Daphnia pulex: one gene and its partner. The protein of the gene in region 2 interacts with the protein of the main gene of each other region in a biochemical or structural test. Links are inferred from orthologs where the notes say so. Each region holds a gene or a part of one and is shown on either strand. Other genes may lie near its edges.

The links. The genes of interacting proteins can lie anywhere in the genome.
Region 1: the proteins of dihydrolipoyllysine-residue acetyltransferase component of pyruvate dehydrogenase complex, mitochondrial-like (region 2) and pyruvate dehydrogenase E1 component subunit beta, mitochondrial-like form a complex in vitro, tested with the Homo sapiens proteins (2 studies listed by BioGRID and IntAct, with this or other methods). The link is inferred for Daphnia pulex from reciprocal best matches to the Homo sapiens genes DLAT and PDHB.

Annotation. Positions count from the first base shown.
Region 1 is NC_060026.1:4,317,290-4,322,089, forward strand, and holds pyruvate dehydrogenase E1 component subunit beta, mitochondrial-like, read right to left. Parts: upstream 2,905-4,800; 5' UTR 2,810-2,904; coding exon 2,771-2,809; intron 2,693-2,770; coding exon 2,633-2,692; intron 2,578-2,632; coding exon 2,371-2,577; intron 2,305-2,370; coding exon 2,213-2,304; intron 2,138-2,212; coding exon 2,014-2,137; intron 1,941-2,013; coding exon 1,760-1,940; intron 1,690-1,759; coding exon 1,456-1,689; intron 1,390-1,455; coding exon 1,241-1,389; 3' UTR 1,079-1,240; downstream 1-1,078. Other genes in the region: neurotrimin-like, read right to left, coding at 3,935-4,077, 4,685-4,800. UniProt on the Homo sapiens protein: The pyruvate dehydrogenase complex catalyzes the overall conversion of pyruvate to acetyl-CoA and CO(2), and thereby links the glycolytic pathway to the tricarboxylic cycle.
Region 2 is NC_060017.1:7,713,238-7,718,487, reverse strand, and holds dihydrolipoyllysine-residue acetyltransferase component of pyruvate dehydrogenase complex, mitochondrial-like, read right to left. Parts: upstream 3,101-5,250; 5' UTR 2,949-3,100; coding exon 2,830-2,948; intron 2,625-2,829; coding exon 2,440-2,624; intron 2,373-2,439; coding exon 2,094-2,372; intron 2,031-2,093; coding exon 1,708-2,030; intron 1,628-1,707; coding exon 1,458-1,627; intron 1,340-1,457; exon of another isoform or gene 1,268-1,339; intron 1,178-1,267; coding exon 1,015-1,177; intron 956-1,014; coding exon 686-955; 3' UTR 485-685; downstream 1-484. Other genes in the region: polypeptide N-acetylgalactosaminyltransferase 1-like, read left to right, coding at 1-257; cyclic AMP-responsive element-binding protein 5-like, read left to right, coding at 3,255-3,305, 3,388-3,490, 3,610-3,696, 3,758-4,425, 4,492-4,611, 4,673-4,794, 4,853-5,064, 5,129-5,250.

The sequences.
Region 1 (4,800 bases), on a different chromosome or scaffold from region 2:
AAGCGAAAAGAAATAAGAGAGATTCGAGGGATTCAGAGACTTATACTTTACAACGAATTTGTACATTCGATAACTGATCTCAGAGTCCTTGATTCAGTTCTGATTTCTTTGATTTTCTTTTCCTTTGGCTTTCAAATTTCTGGTGGCGAAAAAAGTGACAGGGTCACCCTTCTTTTTTGTCCAACTCATGTGTCTATGCTGAATATCTCTAGTCCGTTCTTGTAGGAGTTTCGTAGTCTAAACACCGTTATCGGTTTAACGGACACGCTAGTGTATAATGCACGACGACGACAACATGCATAACCTTCGATAACTTTGATTTAATGAGTTTAATGAGCCATCTTTTTGTGGCAAATGCGCTTAGTCTGAATTATTATTAATTTCTGCATTGAAACCTGGTAAAAATAACAATTTTAATTCTGCTTTAATGCAGCGTTTTTAGTGTCATAATAAATTTAAATATTAGAATTCGTTTGCAATGTGGGCATTACTGATTGCGTTACTATTATCTTTACATTTTCTGTGAAATGGGGCTCGAACGGCTTGCCCCAACGACGAGGGAGGCATTCACTATGCAGTATACACTATTCATTAATTAAAAAATGGATATGAAAATTTAAAATTTCAATCCGGTTTTTGCACGAATGAAATCTCATTCAAAGGTCTTGCGTGGTCCTTACAAAGCATTTATATTCCATATGAGCCATGACCCTTGATTGCGATTTTTCCTTCACGAGAACAAGCTTTTGAATCCAGACAATTATGTCCCATGGCAACTGGACTTGAATTAGTCGACTAGAATTTTGCAAAGCTGTTACTACTAAATCGTTCAGGTACTATACTCTTACAATGTCTCAGGTATCACGATTTTCCAGATTTCTTTGTTCTTAATTTTTTTTTTAAGTGATGGAACCCTGGCGAGTGGAGAAGTCACAAGATTTGAATTGATTTTGTAACAATTAGATGAAACGTTGCCTATTCCCTTAAGCCAAAATAACTAAAATGAGTCACCATTATAACAGGCAGGAATCAAATATGTAGTTATAAGTTACGTTAACTACCAATTAAAAGACAACAATTACAGTTAACAACTCGAAATTTCCGAGTTGATGCTTCTTTAGACTACCCATGAAGATTTACACATCGGCACGAGAAAAGAATGAGAGAGAAAGATAGTATACAAGATCTAGGAAATTTTTGATGTTGGTCTTGTCTCACTGGTGTGTCGAACTTAGTCCAACTATTGCACGTTCAGAATTTTCTTAACAACTCGGACCACATCTTTTCCTTGAGGAAGAGAATTATCTTCGAGAGTCTTGGCGTAGGGCATAGGGATATCAGCGCCGGTCACACGGACGGGTGGGGCATCGAGATAGTAAAATCCTGGGCCTTGAAATTCGCAATAACACAGATATATGAAACCGAATGCAGACTGGAGAAATCTTATTTAATTACCTTCAACCATTCGAGAAACAATTTCAGCGCCTACACCTGACTGTGGCCAGCCGTGCTCTACTGACACCAAGTGATTTGTCTTTTTCACCGATTCCATGACGGTATCAAAATCTAATGGTCGTAGACTTCGGAGATTGACCACCTCGGCTTCAATGCCAATGGCACTTAACTCCTTTGCGGCATCTAAACACGTAGCAACTGCTCGAGAGAAGGCTACCAAAGTTATGTGCTTACCTAGTTTAAGAAAACAAGTTAAGATAAGACAAAGAAATTTGTTTTTGTCTAAGAATATTTCACGTATTACCAACACGCTCGATTTTAGCTTTGCCAATGGGCACAATGAAGTCCTTTGACAAAACCTCGTCAGAAACGTCAAAAGCAGTTCCGTACATAATTTCGTTTTCTAGACATACGACAGGGTCAGGATCACGAATTGCAGCTTTCAGCAAACCTTTGGCATCTTCCGCGGAATAGGGAGCTACAACCTAAAACATCACCCCCAGGGAGTGAAGCTGTTATAATTATAGAACCACAGTTAAATAAAGAATTGTTGACTACCTTCAGGCCAGGACAGTGGCTATACCATGCACCAAAGCACTGTGAGTGCTGGGCAGCAACTCCAGCTGCAGCTCCATTAGGTCCTCTGAAGACAATGGGTACATTGACTAATCCAGCTGACATACTTAAATAAATGGAAGAATGAATAAAATAATTAAGATTCCAATATTTGAGGAAAAATTGAAGTAAGCATCCATACTAGAAGGTTTTAGCAGCTGAGTTAATTACATGATCAATTGCTTGCATCGAAAAGTTCCATGTCATGAATTCACAAATAGGTCGTAGTCCTCCCTGAGGATAGTTGGAAGGAAAGTTGAAAATATTTAGTCAGTAAAACTTGTTACACTTCAAACTTACCATAGCAGCACCTGTGGCAATACCAGCAAAGCCCATCTCAGTGATGGGGGTATCAATGACACGTTTATCGCCATACTTTTTCCACAAGCCCCTAGAAATCTTGTAGGCTCCATCATACTGAGCAACTTCTTCACCCAGAATGAAAACTCGCTCATCCCTTTCCATTTCTTCATCAATGGCGGAGTTGAGGGCATCTCTCACTGTAAGCTAAAATGAAATATGAGCCTTTAGCATTCAAGCAACCTGCTATTACCGTCCATACCTGTGCAGAGGCTGGACGAGAAGTGGATATTCCTCGTAGTCCAACATATTTAAAAGCATTCTGTTTCGGGAAATGAGTATGAAAATGAATAAAAACAGTAATAATAATAGCAGATATGATTATGCAAGCTACTTTTACCTTTAACATCATTGTGGATTTCGCAAGAGGAGCCGCCATAGCCGGTCGTGTGCTTTATACAGAAAGGCGTGATCAGCTGATCGTGATCGACTTATTAATAGAACGCATAGTTTTTCACATAACCGGTAGGTGGAGGAAAAGGCGCTTCAGCATGCGCAACCAAGTAGCGCAGACACGACATCAAGCACATTGAATATTTTCATTTTTTTTTTGTCATTTTGAACATAAAAGCTGCATATTTGTTCTTATTTAGGCCTATGTATGCTTTTGTATTACACATTAAAAGTACGACCACATAAGTCTAAGTTTATGTTGCAGCACTTCCTGTGAAACAAAACCTCTTATTCCGGCTCCGGCGAGTGCTGGATTCAGTTGATTTCCGCAAAAACGGTTAGCAACTAATCCCATTGGTTGGATATGAGGCAAACGGAAGCATTATAATTACCGTTTGAGCTATTGGATTGGAAGTGATCGGAAGTGATTGTGCCCATCAATTATTATTAGATTTGATTTTGACGCTTTGATTTATCGCCATTATTGTGGAAAAGTGCCTGACCTAGCATCTTTGGAATATAATGTACCCCTAGTTTTTGGTATTCTTTAATATCTGGATTAAATTAAGCACACTACACACCAGTGAAACAAGACTAAAATGTAAAATTTCCTAGATATTGTATTATACTTTTCCGCTTTCGTCTTTGTTCTAGTGCCGATGTGTCAATCTTGATGGATAGCCGTCTGATGAAACAACTCGGGAAAGGTCGAGTTGTCAACTGTCGTAATTGGTTTGTTGTGTTTAAAAAACGAGTATAGTTAGAAGTTTTTACGTTTTGTCGTCGACGGCTTCGTTTTATATATAGGTGAAATTATTTAGTATTTCGTGCTCATTTCATTGAGGAACAAGGGAAATTGGAAAGTTTGAGAGAAGATATATAGAACCATGGAATAGAACATACAATTTACACGGGAGGAGTAAAACGAAGAAAAAGTGACACACAGTTTGGAATGGATGCGATACAGATCTGTACAGGAGATAAATAACCACAGACATATATTATATTGCAACAATGAGACTCGTCCGAACAAACAGACATTCCGACCATTTCACATTTGAACGTCAAAAGAAAACAAACGCAGAAGAATTGAATCATTTGCAATCGACATTCACCAAGTAGATCTCCGCCTCGCCGTGTTAAAGGTAGTAGTGGCTTTGACGTTTATTACAACACTGTTGATCGCCGTCCATCCGATTAGAATGAAGGTTGTTGCAACCCACGTCCACGAAGAGATCGTACAACTTGACGAACCTAAATGACGAAATAATAATTAGAATAATTAGTCAGTCGCTAAAGTAATGTTATGTAGATGTAACATGTAATCTTTTGGTGAACGGCCTATTTATATGCAATCAAGTAGCAATATTTCCAAGTGAGTTATTGCACAACCGATCTTCCAGGAACACTGTTGACTCAACTAATTCGAGTGCTGCTCTACGAAATTTCCAATTAGACTTGCGACTTCTACGTCATCTAAACTTTTGACTTGTTTATTTTCATTATAGATGTTGATACTTCAAAAGCTCATTTAAGTAGACGAATTTTGGCTTCCTTCCGCGCTTGAATACATAAAGTCTCATTTGAGTTATTCAGCTCATGGGAATAGACACATACGGTCACGCAAGTTGCCTGATGCTATGTATAACAATATCATTTTAGGCTTCATCTTGTACTCCGCTTTATTCCGTCAACGTTTTTTTTTTTAAATAGACTTTAATGAAAAATTCATTTCACTTCTCTCCATCTGCAGCTCTTTAAAGCCATTATATAGTTTCAGATGTCGGTCACGTATCTCCCAAAAAAACAATTCACGAAGGCGGAAAAACTTAAAACAAGAGCTGACGACGAGTTAACCCACCTGCTGTAGTACCGAGATTCCAATCAAAGGTCCACTTGCCATCCGAACGAGATTTGGCAGGTTTGCTGTTGGTTTCCTTTTGATCAGACGCGTCGGGGAGTTTATTCTCGTGAAGG
Region 2 (5,250 bases):
CTCTTCCAGGCTACTTGATGTCTGATGAATCCCTTTGTGTAGACCATTTGGATGGCGAAGCGCGAGCTATGGCCTGTTCGGGATTCAGTAAACAATTATGGCATCACAATTTGAGGACCAACGCGATTGTGCATGGCAATTCTGGTTTGTGTTTATCTATTTCTCGCCCACCTGAAACTCCTGGAGAGGTCTCAGTTCATAGTTGTGATGGCTCGTCTGAGCAGCAATGGACTCTTCAGCCTGAGAAATGGAGTTGATGTCACTAAACCCTGATAAACCGTCAGCTCATTAGCTTGGCTTTGTGCAATCTTCCCAGTTTCTCACACCCCGCCTTATTCACTTACCATGTTAACTCAAGTGTTTATTTCAATGTCACTTGAAGACTTAACTTAAAATGACGGCATGAGCTCAATTCAATTTATATTTAATTGATTTGTTGTCTCACGTGTTGCTTGTTAAATTCAAAGAATAAATTACGAGGATATTTCGTCAGCACTTTTTTATTTGTCCCCTACTATTCACAGGGTTTTTTAACAGAATAACAGTACAGATCTGAAAAATGGTAATCCAATTTGATTTTAAAACAAAAAACTTAGGATCAACTAGATTTCCTAATTCAACTAAACTACCTTACTTTTAAGATACAACATACATTCACGAAGGTTGCTTTGCTAGATATTTTTTTTTACAAAAGCATTGTGCTAGGCTTTTCAAGGTAACTCTTGAAAGCAGCCAGCCACTGGGCGCCGACTGCACCATCCACAACACGATGGTCGCTACTCAACGTCACAGTCATGACATTGGCAGCACGGAAACCTTGCTCAGCGGATGCATCAACTACCAGTCGTTTTTCAGTTCCTCCAACTGCCAGAATGCATGACTGGGGTGGGTTTATGATGGCAGTGAAATTTCGAACTCCAAACATTCCAAGGTTCGAGATGGAAAAAGTGCCGCCCTATTTAACAAAATTTGGATTAAATAGTTATTTACTTAAATCAATCTTCGATTTATTACCTGAAATTCGTGGGGCTGAAGTTTTCCATCGCGAGCTTTGCCAGCTAATGTGCGTACATCAGCACTGATAGAAGCGAGACCTTTTCTCTCAGCATTAAAGACGATAGGTGTAATAAGACCACGATCTGTGCTCACGGCTACACTAATATCCACCGTGTCATACCTATAAGCAAAAATAGTTCCTTTACTGACATGTCATAACATTTTCAACACATATGTAAAAATAATGAATAAAAATCTTGAAAAAAAGGAGAGGGGGCACCCGGGTTTGAACCGGGGACCTCTCGATCTGCAGTCGAATGCTCTACCACTGAGCTATACCCCCTATGCTATGATACAAACAAGTAGTCGGGTTATCGCTGCGCAAGTCACGTGTTCATGACACGCGACATGCGAAATAGAAAAATCTAGCATGAACCAGTTCAATGAGAGAATTGACTTACTGTCTAATGAAAGTTTCTTGCCACGATGAATTTACTTCAGGAACTTTACGGCAAGCTAGAGCAGCAGCTTTAATGACAAAATCGTTAACACTCAGCTTGGCCCCATCCTTTCCTAGTAGTGCATTAAATTCCTGACGAAGTGAAAGTACTGAATCCATGGTAACGTCCACCTAGCGTAAGAAGTTGCATCATTATTTACATTATACAATATTTCTCTATCACACAATATTTAAGAAAACCGAGTTATTACCGTCAAATAATAATGAGGGATAGATTGTTTGGACTGTAGTAAACGTTTTGCGATAACACCACGGATATTAGTTACAGGAAGATCCGTATATTTTTGTCCAGCAACTGCTTGAATAGGAGCAGCTGCAGTTGGTGGAACTGCAGCAACGGGTTTCGGAGCCACAGACAATTTATCAAGGTCTTTAGCTGTGATCGATCCTTCGAATCCTGAACCACCAGATACAGATGCCAATGAAATTCCTTTCTCGGCAGCCATTTTTTTAGCCAATGGTGACGCAAATACCCTCTCAGAAGAAGTTGCGGCGGTGGATGAGGGTACTGGAGCTAAGGATGTAACTTGTAAATAAGGTGTGCATTATGTAATGCATGAAAAATAAAATGGCATACCAGCTGTAGCAACTGATGATTGAGATGGAGTAATGATTTCTGGTTGTTGAGAAGCTGGTGGAGCAGCAACAGCAGCCCCATCGTCTTTGAAATCTTTGAAAGCTGCTACATCTTCAGCCTTTTCAACAATGATGCAAACCAATTTTCCAATTGGAACATCTTTGGAGCCAGCAGGGATCATAATTTTAGCCAAGTATCCTTCTTCTGGAGTTTCAAATCCCATAGTGGCCTTATCGGTTTCAATTTCAGCTAGAAGGTCTCCCTCATTAAGTTTGTCACCTAAAAAAATATATATACAAGCAAATGAGTGATTAAAAGAAATTTACTATTAAAGGTGTATGTATACCTTCTTGCTTTTCCCAACTAATAAGAGTTCCAGATTCCATGGTAGGAGACAATGCGGGCAGTTCAACTCTTTTATGGGAAGGAAGTGTACCACTGGCATACATCCTTACTGATGTTTTATGGAGTCCAGTTATGATAGAGACTGTTGAATACCCAGTGCTCTTGTCAACATATGTTTCTCCACGTCTAGAAAGTAAACCACCAGTAAAATGCTTGCAGACAATAATAGCAGATCGTCAATCCACTTATTTCATACATACTTTCTAAGATAATGTAATCTTTTATATATTTTGATAAAATTTAGATAAATAGTATTGATACACAATTGTATGTATGGGAAATCATAGGGAAAAAACGCTTTTGCTCCTGCTAGTTGAAAAACTATGATTACCTTGAAATATCCTTCTGAAACACAACCGTCGAAAGTTTCCTTGCAGCTCGTGTTTTCGTTGCATTTTCCAAAGTAATCTTTGCAACACAAGCCTTTCGAACTAACGATGATCGGAACATTTTCAAGGAATTATATGAGCGGAACTGGAAGTGGAAATCACGGTGTGCTCATATGAAGAAGACGAAGGCAGGTTAGAACAGCTGATTTTTTGGTAACCCAAAAAACTGCAGTCTGCAGACCACAAGTCCACAACCCTAAAAGAGCGTAATGTAGTCTGCTATACCTTTCTTCTCAGTTCTGAGAATCTTTCGAAAGAAAAACCACTTGTGTACGATTGTAGATTGTTTACTTCAATATTTTCGTTAATTTTCGCGTTTTCTATTGCGCAATTGAATCGTTTAAAGATATTTCCCTCAAATACTCAAATGGTGGATGACGAGAAACCATTTCCTTGCTCCAGTCCTGGTTGTTCTATGGTAATAATTTGTAAACAGTTTTATTTAATGTTGACTGTTGGTGTTTTGCTATCTTATTCATTCATCGTTTTCGCAATTAAAGAGGTTCGCCAATGAAGACCACTTGAGTATTCATAAAAAGAGACACATGTCCCTTTCAATTGAATCAATTAGTAATAATGGCTCAAAGACACCTAATTTTGTGGGTGAGTTGATTTTTTTATGTCTAACTCTGTACTTCATTAATACAAATGAAATGTAAATTTTTGTGTTAATAAATTCTGTTACCCTTCCTTTGTATTAATCTAATTTTTAACTATTATAGCTGATGAAACCCCCACCCCAACAAGATTTATTAGAAACTGTGAAGAAGTTGGGCTTTTTCAAGATTTGAATGTCAATCCTTTTGATGGTAAAATGCCACTATTAACTACAGAAAACTTGTCAAAAATAGTTCAATTTGTTTTTTTTAGAGCAATTTAGAAGAGCAGCTGAGACTCATCTCAGTCCTCCTTCACTTCCCACATCAGATGATGTTCTCCACACTCCTCATGTCTTCCCTGTGCTTCCACTGGATTCAGATGTAGTTACACAGTTGCCTCCTCCCAAATCAGCTAATGTTAGAAAAAATTACCTCATGCCATCATTGTCCACATCAGAATGTCTGACTCTTCCATCTCCAGCAACAACTCCTGTACCAACTCCATTGATTACTGTAACAGCTCCTACAACCGAGTCCCAAGGATTTTTCAACAAAAGAGTAGATACAACGACCGCCACATTATCTGATTGCGGCAAAACAATTTCCACTTCAATAATTACCTGCAGTTCAAGAAAAGATCGACCGAAGAAAAACAACACTTTTCAAAGCAATTGCACAAAGACAGCCACAAACCCAACTGTGAATATTATGCCTCGTCCGATTGTTCAATCATCTGCCACCAGTGATCCTATGACATCGCTTCTGCTACGTCTTCCTGATGGACGTTTAGTTCAAATTCCTGCTATTCCTGTACCTACCGAAACTGACGCATCTAAAATAGTGAATCCTGCTGTAGGATCTCCATTGGCTCCTGTTGGCGTGGAACAAAGTAGTTGCAAAATTAAGTCAGCAAGACCAGTAATGTCGGAAGCCAAATTGGTACCAACAAAAATAATTTCTTTATCAATATCCTTTACTCTTCTCAACAATATTTTTAATTGATAGAAACTGAAACAAGCGCTAACGAAAGCTAAACCTGCAAATCAGCCTTTAAACGGAAATTCCCCTTGTGGCACCAGCGATGCAAGTGGTACTGATACGGAGCCTTTAACCAACGCAGATTCGGTATTAGCATGTACTAAACAAACCTCAATCCTTCTGTTATCTCACTCTATTGAGTTTTAAGGTTATGGATGTGAATGATTCTACAAAACCTAACAACCGACGTCGCGTCTACAATTCAGCATCTGATCAAGATCTGGACGAAGAAGAAAGTGAAAAACGAAGGAGATTTCTGGAGCGGAACCGGTATTTTGATAAATTGAAAAGTATAAACTATAATTAATTCGAATTTTTTATATGTCAGAGCTGCTGCATTCCGCTCTCGTCAAAAAAGGAAGAGATGGGTAACAAATTTAGAAGCCAAAACAACAGTAATGAACACCGCAAACAAACTGTTACAAAATGAAGTGTTAGCTTTACGAAGCGAAGTTGCCCAGCTAAAATTACAACTTTTAGCGCACAAAGATTGTCCTGTAACTCTCGCAATGTGTCAACAACCGCCTGTATCAGGGAACAGTAATAATTAAAGAATATTTCACAAATTTAATGTACGTATTAAATTAATCTACGTCTTTTTTAGGCGTATTTATAGCTGGAAATCAATCGAGGGGTGTTACTGTCAATTCTACCATTTCTAATTCAGCAGTTTCGTCTGCAACTCCACGCCAGATAATCATACTGAATACTTCTAACCAAAATTCA